Linked DNA regions of Caenorhabditis elegans. The protein of the gene in region 1 purifies or fractionates together with the protein of each later gene. This does not show direct contact. Each region holds a gene or a part of one and is shown on either strand. Other genes may lie near its edges.

Region 1 (7,087 bases):
AAAAATAAAAAGAAGATGAGTAATGACTTTTAAAACAATTGAAGAAGTGGACAGGAGGGTTATCAGTGGAACAAAAAGTGTAAACAGGTTATTCGAGGATAAGAAAATGCTGACTCATTAGCACAAGACACTCAGAACCCTATACGAGCATGAAGCATACGTTTGTGAATCATTGACGGAAAATGAGAAATGATAAGAGTTCTGAGGAAAATGTTTCAGAATAGTCAAAAATAGGAACAGATATAAAAACTATGGAATAGTTTTTTTTGTTGATTAGTCAAAGCTTATTGCCGTCGTAGTCAGCTGGCAATAAATTGAACTCGAGTTAATAGATTTTTTATAAATTTGGCTATTCCAGATCTTAAAAAACGCGCGTTGCTAATTTGAAGGTAATCAGCAATGTAATACACTCCATTTCCCCTTAATTTAATTTTCCTAGCGTACAAATTTGAAATATTGTTTTCGACTTGTTTGAAATTTATGAGAAGTTATATTAAATCATAAATTTATTGAAATCTTCCACAACTGAAACGTTTAAGAACAAAAAAACGAAATTTTCAGGTGAGTTTTTGTTTTTACATTATGATTCCTCCAACAATGATGAAAAAAGATTCCAGGAAAATTGAAGGGAAGCAACAAAATGTGGGCATTTTATAGGAAACTATGATATCTACTACAATTCAAATTTTTATACAAATAATTTGTGATAATGAGTTGTTTGTCTTAGTCATTCGAAATTGCAAACATTATTTACAACCAAAAATGGGAAGTAATCTTGAATTTGATAGAGTTCTGATAAAATTAATAAGAGTATGGTAAAGGTTTCGAGAAATTGGAGTATTGAATCACATATTAGGTAGGGAAACCATTTAAAACCGTTAATATAATGCCAAATGTCATAATATCACTTTTGAGAAAACAAATTTATTTCTAAATTTACAGTCATCGTATGCTGGTGAAGGTAGCATATGTTTTATAACATGACTCTAAGAAACTCACAAGCTACATATTTTGAAGAATATTTTAGTGGGTTATGCAGTCTTTGAAGAACAATTTATAAAGAGAAAGTTAAAGTAACTTCACAATCTAGTTTTAAAAAAATGACACATTCACCAGATGATGCCAAAATTTTGCAACAAAAAAAAACAGAAAACTACAAAAATGACACAAGGAATAACGAAGTGACCTGTGCTTCACATAATGTCTCAATTGTAATTCTAGCGGTTTTGTGATGAGTGTGCTCATCAAACTCATTATCCATCTAAACGATGGGAAAACACTCACTATCTATTTTTTTTTCCTCAATTTAACCTCCTTCTTGCTCTCAGTTACACATTACACGAAATGATGTCTAATGTCTCCTACGACCACATTTTATTTTTCAAAAAAAGAGAATGGTCAGTTGGGATCAAAAAAGAGACGAGAGTGTCAGAAAAAAAGATGAAAGGAACGGAGTGAGATTGAAAGGAAAAGAAGGTAAAAGTATTGTTAGATAGGAGAGGAAAAGCGGAAACCAATTTATGTAAATTTTATTGCATTTTTCAAACGTATTTTCATCTTTTAAAAATGCTGTAAAAAGTCATTATGCATAGAATATGAAGACAATTTTTTCCTAGTACTGCATCATTGTCATCTTATTTGAAACACGTCAAAACATGACTTTCCAAAAATTATTACGTAATAAAGATATTTAACAAGAATTTCCAGTTATCTCGTGTACTAGGTCAAACGGGCTGAAACTATCCGTGGCAAATCAGATTTTTAAAAAAGTCAATTTTGTAATTACTCATGTTATATTACAAAAAAAAACTCATTATGTTTATCGACTTTCCAATATTTTGATATTGATAACGAGTGCTTGGTTACTGTAACTTAGGTTTTTAACGGATTAAACAAAATTTCATGTGCTTTTTGTTTCAGACAATTTTTGAAAGAGGAGAAGCTGAAAAAGGAATAACAAGAACAACAAAACCGTCGCAACAAGTTGCAACTTTTGGTAATTTACCATAGTAGTTTTTCAAACCTACTAGAAAATGGCCAATATGCAAAAAAAACTGTCACATTTTCCATTCATAAAATATTTCGACGTTTTCTCTTCTGAAAAGTCCACCAAAAAATTAATTGAAAATTGCGATGACCATCTTAAGTGGCGAAACTAAACAAATTAGTAGAAATATATATTACTACAACTGAATACTACTACTACGACTAATACCCTTCTACTTTTTCTTGTTACTCTTTTTTTCAAGCAATACGTACACATGAATCAGTTTGCATCTGGCAGGAGAAATTAAAAACGGAAAGAACAGAAACCAGTGTAAACGTACTCGAATACTTTGATGATCAATACAGAAAAGGAAAAATCTCCAATTGGAACAGAAATCTGTGTATTCTGTTCAACGAGCCGTCCTTCTTTTGAAATGGGTTACGAAATACATCTTTCTCTCGAGGGGCGCATAAACTTACATAAAAATAGTCGGGCAATGATGATGGCACATTGAGTTTTTATCGTGGCACCCGGGAATAAAATAGCCAAAGGTTTTATGACAGCTTTTCCGAAAGAAATTAAATATTTTTGAACTTGGCTTTCATCGAGTGACACAATAATAATAATCATTGTGTAATGTCATTGTTCGTGGAACTCTAAAAAAAACTACATATAGCTAGATTCAAGAAATTGTAACTCGAACAACACAGTGAATTTTTTTGTAATTTCTATTTTTGCCGCATCAAAACAAATGTTTTTTTTTTCAATTTGAGTTTCTTCCAATTTCAATGAGTACTTTTATTTTTACATAAAATTGATTGTTAAAAAACAAGTTTCCAATTTTAATTATCAATTGCATTTTTCTGTTTCTTTTCATTTTTTTCTGCCTTTTTAATCCTTATCATTTCTTTGATATACTTTAATGATTCTGCATATTCCGTATTTCTTTGCGTCTCTTCTTCCACACGGTGTTTCAGCTTTTCAATCTGAAAAAATTAATAAATCTAGTTTTTCCCACGACTCTTCTAATACCTCTTCAATCTCAATTGGATCTTGTTTCATAAAGTCTAATTTTGCCTCCATTATCTTTATTTGCTTCTCCAATTTGATAATTTCGATTGCTTTTTCTTGTTCAATTGCCGCGAATTTAACATTTTCGGTTTCAATTTGTACTTTTGAATAAGCGATTTCTTTTTCGAGGCTTTCAGCTTTCAAAGTGTTAGCTTCAAATTCTTCTTCCAATTGAGCAATTTCCTTCTGAAACAGAAAATATACTGGATCAGCTTATTACGATACCCTATACTTATGCCATAAGACAATACGCCAAGCCTTCAAATAGAACTTCTATTAATCTCACAACTTACAGCAAAAACCTTATCGTCGTCTTCCTTTACGCCCACATTTTCTGGCATCTTTGGGTCAAAATTAAACACACTTGAAAATATCTCATAGATCTGAAACATTTCAATATAAATGTTCAAATTTTGAATAACTACAACTTCTTTGAGTTCTGTTTCGATTTCTCCAACAATCTGATCCACACTTCGTTCTTTCGGTGGAGATATTTGTTGATGAATGTCAGCGTAGTATTCGCATTGCTGCAAGAGTTTCACACAGATGACATTTGACAGAAATGAATACCTCAGTAATGAAAGTTCTCACAGTTTCCACTTCTTCTTCAATTTCCTGTTTCAACATATTTTCCCGTTTCTCGTGAGCTTTCACGCGTGCCACTGCCATTTCTAGCATTGCTTGACTTTCTTTTCTAAAGAGACTTTTACACTTTATTAAAAGTAAAATTTTAAAAAAAAACAATTATTTTAGAAAGTGTTTTCTAGAAAAATGTGGAGACGATGGTCTTTTGAATTCGAAGTATATTTTAGTTTTAAACAATTTGATTCAAAAAATAAACCCAATAATTTATTTTTTAATTTTCTTGTTTTTTTAATGTTCCAAATTTGTGTACCTTTAATCTTCCTAAAAATGTAAGTACTTCTTGTCTACACGCCTGACTATTGCCATTTTTTTGAAAAATTAACTCACCCTACTAATAAGTGAAGTACGGTAACTAAATTAACACGTGAAAATAGACGGTAGGCAGGCAAATAGTAATTCCCTACCTAATCTTTTCAATATAAGCCTTTCTCTGAAGCTGTCGATGCTCAGAAATCAGATCAAACTCATTTCGTGTTGTCCATTTTTCTTCTTTCATTTCTCGTGATCTTGCTCGCTCCTCTTGAACTTTTTTCGCGTGTTCGCGTGCCAGCCGACGCTTCTCTCGCAGCTTTTCATAATATTTCGTTCGATTGGGCATTTTTATTGAAAAGAGATGATGAAGGGGACTTGCGAAATTTTGTTGGATTTAGGAAGGAAATGAAAAACTAAATTCACGATTTTTAGGTCACGGGTGACTGGGCTTTTTGAGCGGAAATTGGTTTTTCGTATATTTTTCTGCACACTTTTGTGTGTATGAGTGTTTTGGAGATTGTAATGCTTTTTAGATAATGTTAAAAAACAAGAATGGTCCTAAATTTTTCGACGTTGCAAAACGGGTTTTTCAAAAACGCAATTGAATATATAACTGTAATTCATGCGCTTTTCTCAGCTGAACACTATTTTAAAGTTGGAATAGCGACAGTTGGAATATTGTCAAAATATACTCATAATGAATTTAAAAATTACTATGTAGATATATGGACTCTAATGTGTTTTAGGGTTTTTCAAAATTTTCAGACTTTTTTTTTTGGCAGATTGCCAATTTTTTTTGGTAAAACGTGGACACTTGGAGATTCATGTAGCATTTTTGTATATTCAAAGTTCTACAATTTTCAGACACGAAAATATTTTTGAACAAGTTCCGAAGTTGTAATAGGCGCTACTAAAGACGTATAAACTTTTGTGTTTGGTCTTGCAATGAATGAAGTTTCTTGTTCGCAGAATAAAAAGTATACAATCTTCGCTGTAAGATCCAGATCTTTTTTTAGGTCACATTGGAAAGTTGAAAATATTGCCAAATCGTGGCAAGCAAAAAATTGCAACATGCTAATATCTTTCTAACCCTATAAACATCCCTTCAATCCCCTATTTTTCAAAACCCCACACTTATAATACCTTTTCCCTTCAACCCTTACCCGTTCCATCACTTTCCTCCCTATTTGCATCTTTCTTCTCTCACATGACCCGTGATGCTTTCTCCAAACCAGTCCCCACCATCCATTTCCGTGCTTGCATCATCATCATCATAGTCGTCAATTTTTCAAGATTGTATCTGTCTCCCTCTCGTTTCCCCACAGCCGACTTAACAAACACCTCTTTTCCGCACTTTCCGCACCAAAAACATGTTTGCGTCTCTCCGTGTTTTCTACCGAGATAGCCACACGTCAAGTAAGCGCCAGTGATCTCTCAATTGATAATACTTTTTTAAAAGGTTTCTCAGTTAACTGAACAATTGTGAGGAAGATACAAATAGTTATGACGTGGCTTAAAAAGAGAAAAATGATGATGAAATAAATCATCACTATTCATTGCTATTCGTTAGAATGCAGGATATAAATCACGATTTTCGTTTTCGAACACAACTTTAAACTTCAATTTTTCCTTTGTTTCTCTGAAAACTTTGCAGTCATTTTCAAGCTTCCACAGAACTTTACAAAAAAACTAGATTTTCTCCAACGTGGCGATATTCCCGAGTTTCGAGAAGAATCCAGCTTGTCAATGCTGTATAAAACCTTTACTTTTCTATCGTTTCCATTATTTCTTTCACTGCACCTGTTACTGCCAGGTGCTTTATTTCCGCCTATCGTCTATTTTGTTTTCCTCCTACCAAATTTGACAACCCTCCGCAAACACTCATTCCTATTTTAGCCCGGTGAAATTTCGATATGGAGAAAAACAAAAACAAGTGTGAGCTTCCACTTCGGAATAATTTCCGGAGAATGAGAATTGTACAATTTTCTCCTATAAGACCATACAATAAAATTTTATCAGAAACATGAAGCTTTGGTCATTATCATTTTTTGTTACCCTTGAAATTTGATCACAAGGCTTTAATTTTTCATGAGACGTCAATTTTTTCTGATGATAAATAACATAGTTCAAAGTATTGCGTAATGTTTCAATTTTAACATGACACATAATAAATCAGAAACTCGAAAAACGTATTTAAATATAGATTTTGTCGGGAAGTTTAATGTGCAACTGTCTCGATATCTTTCTTTGAAAACATTTAATTTTTATTATATTTTCCAAACTGGATTCGAGAATTCTCGTATTCTTAAACAAATTTACAATGAAAATATAAATAATTAATTTAAAGGAACATGTTCTGCAATCCTCCCTGGGTCCCGCCACGAAACCGCCACGCACTACCATGAAAGGCGCGTTCGCATTCGTTCTGCCGCTCGTTTCTGTTTTCCAGATCTTTCCATCATTTTCTTCATTCATTCGCGCTCTCTCATTATCTTGAGTTGCCGGCTATTTTCGCTGCTCTCTGCTTTTTCGTATCGCTTTTTCACTCTTTCCAGCATTCAGAAAATTGCATTATTTCGGTTTTCATTTAAAAAACTCATAGCAAAGTATTTTGTTATTGATTTCGCAATACTTTCGAAAAGTATCGGAAAATTTTAATGTTTAGTCTGTGCGTTCCTCATTCCCTGTTCTCGTTGTACTCTTAACTGATGTTTTTAAATTTAGTTTTCCGGGGCTCTCTTGAAAAGACCCAATAGTCGTATTGAACCTTCGCCTGATCGCCACTAGCTCATCTTTTAGTCTTATGACGGGCTCACATGATTCTCCCCAGTGTCCTCCCGTTTTCTCACTGCACTTGTTTTGTCGTTCGTTCATCAGTACAAAGTACAAGCACTTTCGCGTCTGTCTGAAAATTGGTTCGGGTGCCGTTAGGACATTATTCATACTTTCCTGCTAGTCGCAGATTATAAAAAAATGTCCTTGACCGTCTGCTCTTTCTTATGTTCTCCCTATATATGCGTCAAACGAACAACTGACCCTGTTCACTTTTCCTATTCTTCGTTTCATCATTTTCTGTAACAAAAATGGAAACAATACTTTACACAGACGTCACTATTATTCAGGCCTATGATT
Region 2 (9,217 bases), on another chromosome or scaffold:
CGGATGCAGTAGCAGTTTGCCTATGTGTGTGAATGTGTGTACGTGTGTCACTTTCAATTTATGGCAAATATCGTGATCATCGCGGTCCGACGTTGACAAGTAATGTCGTTCTTCATGCGTTGCCAAAATCTTTTTTCCCCAACATTTCTCTCAAAAATCATTGTTAGAGGATGCGCGGAATGAATGAGTACTCATGCTCCCCCAATTGAAATAAAAATGAGCGACGCTTACGGATTCAAGTGAGAGCGTTTAATTGATTTTTTTGTGTTTCTGATGCATCTTGTTAATGTAAATATCTAGATCGTCCCTCGAGTGTGAAAATCGATCAACTATGGATAATTAGATAATCTAGAATAGCTAGAATGGTTTATAAAGTGCTATAGGAATTGGAAAGAGTTTATAGCGAACTACCATCATAAACTATCGAATTAGGTCAATTTCGGGTGGTTCTAAAACTTGAAAACTCGTTCTATTTTTGATATTCTAGCATTGCCTAAACTATCTACATTTCCAACTTTTATAGTTTTATGGAAATTTTGAAAATGAAACTAGGAACGTTGAAAAAGTTTTAAAAAAACTTTGACCAATCAGCGAATCGCTCCTCCCACTTTCGGACCAATCAGAGCTCGAAGACGTTGATTGGTTTGAAAATAAGCGTGCTTTTCATTTTGCAGGTGTTTCAAATTGGGCCAAAATAATGCCCAAATTTTCACTCGTTCTCGATATTTTTTATAGTTTTATGATGTAGTAATGCGGATTTTCAGACTATTTTGGGCACTTCAGAGTCCCATTCACACTACTCCACCTTTAATCTATTTATCCATATCCTATTACAAGGTGTTCAAAATCGAGGAAGTCCCTGAGAGTTCTTGCCGGAAAAAATCCGCGGCCAACACATAAAACATAGAAAAAGTGTCAGAACATGAATTTTGTCATGCTCATCATCTTAGTTTTCAATGTTCTGTTTACTTCTGCCGACCTGGCGTCCACTTGAAACAGGCGCCTCCCCACCTCCTCTGCGCGCACATAGCTTTTCTCTTCTACCCGCGTACAGTTGTTTTGTTTGTCGGCGAGCTCAGTCTCCTCTATGTTGCTCTCTGCATGTCCTTTCATATCTGGCAGACGAGAACACATACAATATGGGCGGGGAGTTTGATGCGCAATGTGACGACAGTTGTAAATTTATTGCAATCATTTTATTGGTTGGTAGTTGAAATGTCTTTTTACCCGGTTCCTATCCAATTTCTTCTTTTCTCTCATAGTTTCCCGGAAATGGCAATTTATTGTTCGCAGTCTCCAAAAAAGAGAACAGTTTTCATCACAAACACTTTGTTCAGTACTTTGCAACGTCCGTTCCAATCATATTTGCACTTATTTAGTCTATTTGTGTTGGTTTTCGCACGTTTCGACGCGACGTGCTTTTCGTTTTGCATCCATCCATTTTCGCCATTGGAATTGCGGAAATTGAGTGTCCCGGCCTTGACTATACTTTTTTTTGAAATATTGTTGGTTTTTTCTGTCTTCCGAATGATGTATATTTGAATATTTACTCGTATCTTTTTTTCCTTTTTTTTCTTCGCTCTAGCGAGGTCATGTTTTATCTTTCAAAGTCGGTCGGTTTTGTAAATTGAAACCAGTCAGTGATTAGAACAAATCATTTGTCAAGACATATCGTCTTTTGATCTGTTGAAAGAAATCCTTAAATTTTAAAATGTCATGTTTAAAAATATCTAAAAGAATCCTAAACATCAACATGTAATAACAGCTGTGTTCTGCAAAAAAGTTGCTTTCACGAAAATTTCAAAGTGCTCAGACACTTGTTGCTTTTCCCGCTGTAATTAATGGTGAGCAACAAACAACATCAAAGTTCGCGAAAGTTGTGGAAAAAGTTCGCGACGCCCGAATAATTTTTCTACCGATCGGTTTTTATGAATTTTGAGAAACTCGCAATGAAAAATCTGGTTTTAGTGGGTCTAAAATTTGTACGCAGAATATACAGTGCGTACAAGTTCTATACGCCACCCCCTAAATTTATGCCTGTGGCCACGTCTGTGCTTTTTAAAAAATTTCTGTTGATGCCATTCGATTCCAAATCTTAAAAAACCTATAGGCCCAAATTTTCATGACCTTACCTCAATAATTAAAAAAATTAGGTCAATAAATCGAAAAATTGGCCGTACAACTTCTATACGCCACCCTCGATTTTTTGATGATTTTTCAAAAATTTACAATTTTTGAGAAGAAGTTGAACAGCACATTAATAAATTTGAGTGAATTTCGGTGCACAGTAGCTTTTCCTACAACCATAGAACAATTTTGTCCCAATTCGTAGATCCATGGAGTGCCAATGGCACCAGAGGGCCTGAAACGTGGATTTCTGCTCCCACGTAGATATAACCTCAAAAGTTTGAGGATATGTTCTAGATACTATTCAAACATTTCATGCAAATTTTGGCATAAATTGGACTGTTCCTCGTCTCGATAGAAACACATTCATGTAAGGTCTAGCCACTTTTTGGCTACTGGAATGCTTAGAGGCCGAAATCACGGCGCCCTTGAGCGCTTGATGATAGTAACCTTGATTGTTGCGTTCAAGAACAATACTACGAAACCTGCTGTAGCTCAATCGCAAAAATGCATCCCCACTGGATTCATGTGCACCGTGATTTCGGCCTCTAAGCATGCCAGTAGCCAAAAAGTGGCTAGACCTTACTGAAATGTTTTACTATCAGCACGAAGAACCGCCCAAATCAGACCAAAATTTACCTGAGATGTTGGAATAGTGTCTAGAACATATCCCCACACTTTCGAGGTTATATCTCACGTGGGAGCCATAATCCACGTTACAGGCTCTTTGGCGCTCCACAGTAAATCGGGTTGGGACAAAAATGTTTTGTGGTCGTAGGAAAAGTTACTCTTTGCTGTTATTCAATCAAATTTATAAATATTCTCTTCAACTACCTCTTTAAAATCAAAAGTTTTGAAGAAATCGTCAAAAAATTGAGGGTGGCGTATAGAAGTTGTACGGCCAATTTTTCGGTTTATTGACCTAATTTATTTAGTTTTTGAGGTACGGTCATGAAAATTCAGGCTCATAGGTTTTTTAGGATTTGGAATCAAATGGCATCAGCAGAATTCTTCTAAAAAATTCAGACGTGCCCACATGCATAAATTTAGGGGGTGGCATATAGAACTTGTACGCACTGTATTCATTTCTCTTATTCGAAATATTTTTATGAAATGTTCATAATATTTAATTGTTTAACAAAAATTTAATTGGTGGTACGCTAATAATCAAATTTTCTAAAATTTTTACTATTTAAACTAACTGCCAAAGTTTCTAAACCTGTAGCCTTTCCAAATTTAAAAAAAACCATTAAGTTGAAAATATTATTTTTGCACATGCTCTTCATCAGAAAGTTCCCATCTACAAAGTCGTGATTTTTTGTTACTCAATTATAAAGTTGCCAAATAACCTATAGGCTACTGTTTTTTTTTTCTAAAAAAGAGTATTGACACTTCAATGTTTACAATATCTTTTTGTCTAAATCTCTGTTCTCTTCCAACTCTCCTCCCAAATACGTATTTCAAGTATACATTCCTGCAGCCTATCGTGTGTTTTTCTTTTTCCCCCACAAATTGCCACTTCAGCTTTTGTTTCAATTTAATCAAAACACACTATTTCTCTAATCCTCTCAATATTTTTCCTCTACGCTTGTTATCACTCCGTTCTCTTCCTCACCACCCTTTTCTTCCTTCTCTTTCTCTTTTCTCCATGTTTTTGTGTTGGCTTCGTCGTAATTTCTCCATCGCCAATTACTAATTCCTCATTCTACAGGTAGAGCCAAGTTTCGAGCCGCGATGTGGTTCGAGGAGAGCAGCTGGTCGAATCTTCGGCTTACTGATCTCGTTGAGGAATGGAGGGATTTGTGGCCGTCAAAAATCGAATTCATTGTGTCAGCAATGGCATATTTGTTCGCAATGACAAACTTCCTTAACTTGCCAAAATTGATACTCGAAAATGGAGGAGGTATGATTTCGGATTTTTTTTTGGTCTCTTTTTATGATATCCTCATCAGGGCTGTCACCAAATATCTTCAACAAAAAATATTGTTTGGATTTTGGACAAACAAACAACCACATTTTCAGAAAGTTTTTTACCTGGAAATTTACCAAAGCTTGTACTGAAAATTTTGAAAAATCTGATAAATTTATATGGCTCTATGAATTTTTTGAGTTCACTTCGTTCAATAAATTTAGTTTTTTTTTTAATTTTCAAAGCTCGAAATATTTTTTAAAAAATTGAAAAATTAATTTGCCATTTTATTAAATAAATTCTTTTCAGTAGCATTTGCGGCTGCATATGCAATAGTCGTTGGGGTTCTATGTATGCCAACAATGGTTATGGAGATGTCAATTGGACAAGTGACCGGACGAGCGCCTGTTCTTGCTTTTTATCATCTGTTTCCCGTCTTCCGAGGTTCGTTTAGTCTCCCTCTGCCCGTTTACAACATTTCACTTACAAATTTTATGACTGAGAAAATGGCAGAAGGCAAGGGGAAAAATATTGAAGTTTCGAAAGAACATGTGCAAATGCCAAGGAGTTGAGATGGGGATGTAACGGGTTTTCTAGGATTAAAGTTTGAAAAAAATCTGATTTTAAATTTGAACACAAATAAACCATATAAATACATTTTAGCTATAGCTAATCGAAAGACCTTTTCAGGAATCGGAGTTTCTCAAATTCTGTTCACAATGGTCGTACTTGCCTGTATGACAAAGTTCCTCTCAACTCTATGCCTCTTCCTCTACTACTATTTTTGGACATTCCATGCTGGTCGAAGTGGTCTCCCATGGCTCAACTGCAAGGCTTTCCCAGAATTTGTCTCCCAACCGTGTCGAGAAGCTGGATCAATCACGAATATTACTCAGATCAACAACAGATTGAACACGATTCAAGCGGAAAGTTCGATGATGCAGTTTCTAACGTAAGTGAGACAGTTTTGAAGTGTAAAATTTGGTAAAACGACTACAAATTGGTAGAAGATTCTTGGGCATTTTTTTTCCATTTTTTGCAGTTTTTAATAGTATTGAATCTAGATAGATGCCCGAAAATTAGTATTTCCTAGGTATTTTTCTGATTTTTGAAAAAAAATTTAAAATTATATCTCTAATTTCAGAACTTTGGAAAGACCAAGCGAATCGATTGCCGATTTCAAAGATTTTCAATATCCAATTTTAATTGCACAAGGAGCCATTTGGATTGCCATCTTTGTGGCAATTTGCTTTGGAGTTCGATTCGTTGGAAAGACTGTTGCATTTGTTCTGATGCTTGCATTCTCGTCTCTTCTTGTGTTCTTCCTTCGTTCAGCTACACTCGGAGGTGTCACAGAGATTCTTGAAATCTACTGGAAGGCTACTGACTGGGAAAAGCTTGCCGACTATCAAGTTTGGAGACTCGCTATTGAGCAGGCGATTCTGGGAACTGGAATTGGATATGGTGCATTTATTACAATGAGCAGTTATATGAAGAGGAGTAATAATCTTGTTTGGTTAGTTTTTTTTTATTTTTGAAAAATGGCAAAAGTGAAAAATTGCCAGTATTTATATATACTTTAAAGTACTTTTTCGATGATATTTATCAAAAATCACTAACATCAAAGTTTTCAGTTTTTTAAACAAAAATATCTTAAATATTTAGAAGTATTGAAGCTTTCTAATTTCAAAATCATTCAATTTTTCAGTGATTCGATCTTCCTGTCAGTGTGGCATCTCATCATCTCATTTGTGCAGACAATGTCTATCATTTGTATCGTCGGTTATTTGAGCATGAAACTTGGAATCCACCCAACTGAACTATTGGAGACTGGTGAAGATCAAATGTGGTACATGTTGGCGTACGTGTCGTATCTACCGAAACTCTGGTCAGGGGTTCTGCTTACCATCTGCATTTGCACAATGTTTTCAGTCATTGTAAGTTCAGTATTTGATCAAACTATAGCCAGTTGTTTTTGCACATTTAATTATTCTATATGCTGGATATCCACGGTTCATTTATTAAATTTTCAGACCATCTTGGCACTTTCGGTACTATCCACATTTGAGGATGCTTTTGGCGAGAATTGGTCCAAGTGCTGTCGTCGATTCTTCCTCGCTTTATTCGTTTGCCTATTCTGCTTCGGATTGACTGTATACTTTGCAACAAACGCGGGTCGTCATGCTTATGAACTTGCTACTAGAAGCATCAAATACTGTACAATATATTTCATACTGACAGCTGAACTTTTTGCGACAGCTTGGTTCTATTGTGAGTTGCTTTGAAATTAAAATTATAAATATGTAAAATTTGGAAACATTCTCAAGAAAATAAATTTATTCCAGGTGCTCACAAACTCGGAAAAGATCTTCACAACATGATGAGATCAAGATGCTGCTCCTGTTTCGGACACTTCTTCCTCTACTTCACCTACTTACTGCCAATATTACCAGCGGGTGTTGCATTCCTCAATGCACTGGACTACAAATTCTCCTCATTCTCTGCTCCAATTCACGAGTGGAAATATTCGGAATATGTTGGAATCGCCATCGCAATGGTTCCACTGATACCAATTCCGTTGTATTTCTTCATGACGATTCTGTGCGCATGCTGTTGCAAAGGGAAGGATCATGCCAAGACTTGCAAGGTAATTTTTTAATGTCAGGGGTTGTGTAGTATACTTTGGCAAAAATATTTACCAATACGTTTTCCATGAAGTTCTTAAAATGATCATTTAATCGAAGTTGAGGCTTAGAAAACCCCACATTCCTAAGCCTAATATGTGCAAAAAGGGTCATGTAAAATTTGAAATTGCTGCACAAGTACCTCAACAATCATAATAATTATAGCGAAATATGTTTTTTTTCAGAGAATTCGAACAGTATTCGCTGCACGACTTCAGAACCACCACCATCGAGACGAAAAAGCGCAGCCGATTCCCCGATACACGTCGAATGCTCCAGGCTATTTATTACTTCCACAGGCTCCACTCGCCGAGCCAGAGATTTACGCGTAAACTTCTGCCAATGCAATTTCTCATTATCACCGATCTTCTTCTCTGCGATGATTTCCAATCGATCTCGCTGCGAACACTGACAGTCAATTATTTTTTCAATCTACCACCTCTTCTATTTTATACAACGAACTACTCCACTAGCTGCTAGAAATTTGAATCTTGTGCATATCCACTCGGTTTGCCGCCTTTTCTCTTTCCTGTTAATCCGAACTTGTTTCATTTCTTTTCTGTTTCGTTTGTATCTTCGTATCCTTCTGCTCTTTCCTGCCTTATGTCCCTGTCTGTCATCATAATCTTGAATATGTTTGCTTGAATCAAACTATTTACCATCATTCTTCCTAATTATGTGAAATTTTGTGAATATCTACCGGTGCTCCTCGCAGTTCCTTTTCTTCTTCTTCTCTTTGTTTTATACAGCTAATAAATATTTTTAAATTGGGTGCAGAAACTTTTATTTCGTTAAAAATCTCCTTAAAAATAAAGTAACACAATTTTGAAGTTAGTCGAACAAAACAAACAAAGCTACTCGAGTTTGGCAAACAGTGAAAATAAAAGATCGAAATTTGAACATTGGCATTTTTCTATCCATTTTCATTTCAATCTACAAATTAATAATAATGAGCCAAAATATTCCTGAAACTGTGGAAAAAACTGACACCGATTTGCTGATTATGGCCTTGCTGCTTATTGTTTTTCCGGTGAGTAGTTCAATAAATAGATAACGAAACATTTTTAAAGATACGCTTCTGGGTCTCGTCAAGACTTAAAGATAATATATAGTATACTAAATCCGAAAAAATGTGTCGGTTCAACGAGCTTGTGTGCTCTAGTTTTTAGTTTTTCATAGTTAACAACCCGATTTTTTTTGAAACATCAATTGGTCCAATTGTAAATATTCCAGCCAAAAACTTTAAGTTAAAACTTTAATTATTTATCCCTAGACTTCCAAACACATTTCCCGATTTTCAACATTTCAGCCACTTGGAGTTCTTCTAAAAAGCAATGGATTCACCCCTCCAGTCTTCATCTCATTTTTCCTCTACTTTCTATTCATACTTCCTTCCTATATTTTCTCAGTTTGGTATTGTTTTGTTCAACAACGAAAGGACAGTATACTCCCGCTTAGTTCCAATGATTTTCACAATAATTTAGCATTAAACAGTATTTCTGCAAGTGTCTCTCATAAGGATATCCAAGTTTATTGATGTTTTGAATAATAAGTTATTTCATGAAATTTTATTTACTTCATTGAAAATCTGACGTTCAGTGTTGATCGATTAATAGCTCATTTCTGGAACTCACACAATGAGTTTCACCCGACCGTAAATCTCATTAGTGATGAATGTAGTGTACTTTTCATCTTTCAACTTCTGAACACCATCTTTCCCATCTTTCAAAAATGACAATGTGAGTTCAATTGCAGATTGCATACAGAGATATGGCTCAGTAGGTCCCTGAAAATAAAATACGCTATTTAATAATCGAAAAATCAAGAGATTTATCTCTTAACTTTAAAAAAATTATTTGTAATCAAATTTAAATCACACTGGCTACACCTCCAATCCTCTCGCGGATTGGTGGGTTCTCGTCTAATTGAGTGGTCACATGAAATTTATGTCAGTTTTGAGTCGAAAAAATTTTACTCTCTAATTTCTAACTTTTTGATATGTATTTTAGTCTATAACTTCTCAAATAAAAATCAATTACATGAACTCCGAACTGCTTGGCGAGCCAATTTGGAAAAACAAATGGGAAATCGGTAAAACTCTGATGAACAGCTCCACTTAAAGTCAAGAGAATGTTTCCTTCGTTATTTGGAAGAATTTTCCTCATAACTTCCAAATTCTCATTCCACTGCCAATCTCCAACATTTAGGAACATTATCGGCTGTTTTGCCTGCTCCTGTTGATTTTGATCCAATGGATACATCCATCCATCCAATACAATTGCTTTTTGGAAATCCGAGGAAGAAGAGGCAATGCTAGTTGCACCTCCAAAAGAGTGACCAATAATTGACGCAGTCGTCGTGAGAAGCTTATTCTTGAAAAATTCCAGATTTGCGTTGTTTCCAATGATAACTTTATCTTTAACGTTTCCAGAATCCAACTGCTCCAAGATTTTAACCGCCTTCGCACATTCTTCGGCCCGTTTCCCGACCTTAAAAA

Evidence for each region. Proteins that work in one complex are often made in the same cells at the same time.
Region 2: the proteins of EGAP1.1 (region 1) and snf-1 fractionate together in Caenorhabditis elegans (co-fractionation; one large-scale study listed by BioGRID). This does not show direct contact.

The regions. Positions count from the first base shown.
Region 1 is NC_003281.10:5,932,920-5,940,006, forward strand, and holds EGAP1.1 (uncharacterized protein), read right to left. Parts: upstream 4,302-7,087; coding exon 4,108-4,301; intron 3,753-4,107; coding exon 3,629-3,752; intron 3,586-3,628; coding exon 3,352-3,585; intron 3,245-3,351; coding exon 3,020-3,244; intron 2,974-3,019; coding exon 2,830-2,973; 3' UTR 2,771-2,829; downstream 1-2,770.
Region 2 is NC_003279.8:4,976,469-4,985,685, forward strand, and holds snf-1 (Sodium: Neurotransmitter symporter Family), read left to right. Parts: upstream 1-3,838; 5' UTR 3,839-3,861; coding exon 3,862-4,030; intron 4,031-4,345; coding exon 4,346-4,480; intron 4,481-4,726; coding exon 4,727-4,988; intron 4,989-5,180; coding exon 5,181-5,552; intron 5,553-5,744; coding exon 5,745-5,973; intron 5,974-6,069; coding exon 6,070-6,307; intron 6,308-6,381; coding exon 6,382-6,683; intron 6,684-6,905; coding exon 6,906-7,052; 3' UTR 7,053-7,491; downstream 7,492-9,217. Other genes in the region: W03G9.10 (YqaE/Pmp3 family membrane protein), read left to right, coding at 7,670-7,750, 8,030-8,257; paf-1 (1-alkyl-2-acetylglycerophosphocholine esterase), read right to left, coding at 8,351-8,506, 8,760-9,209.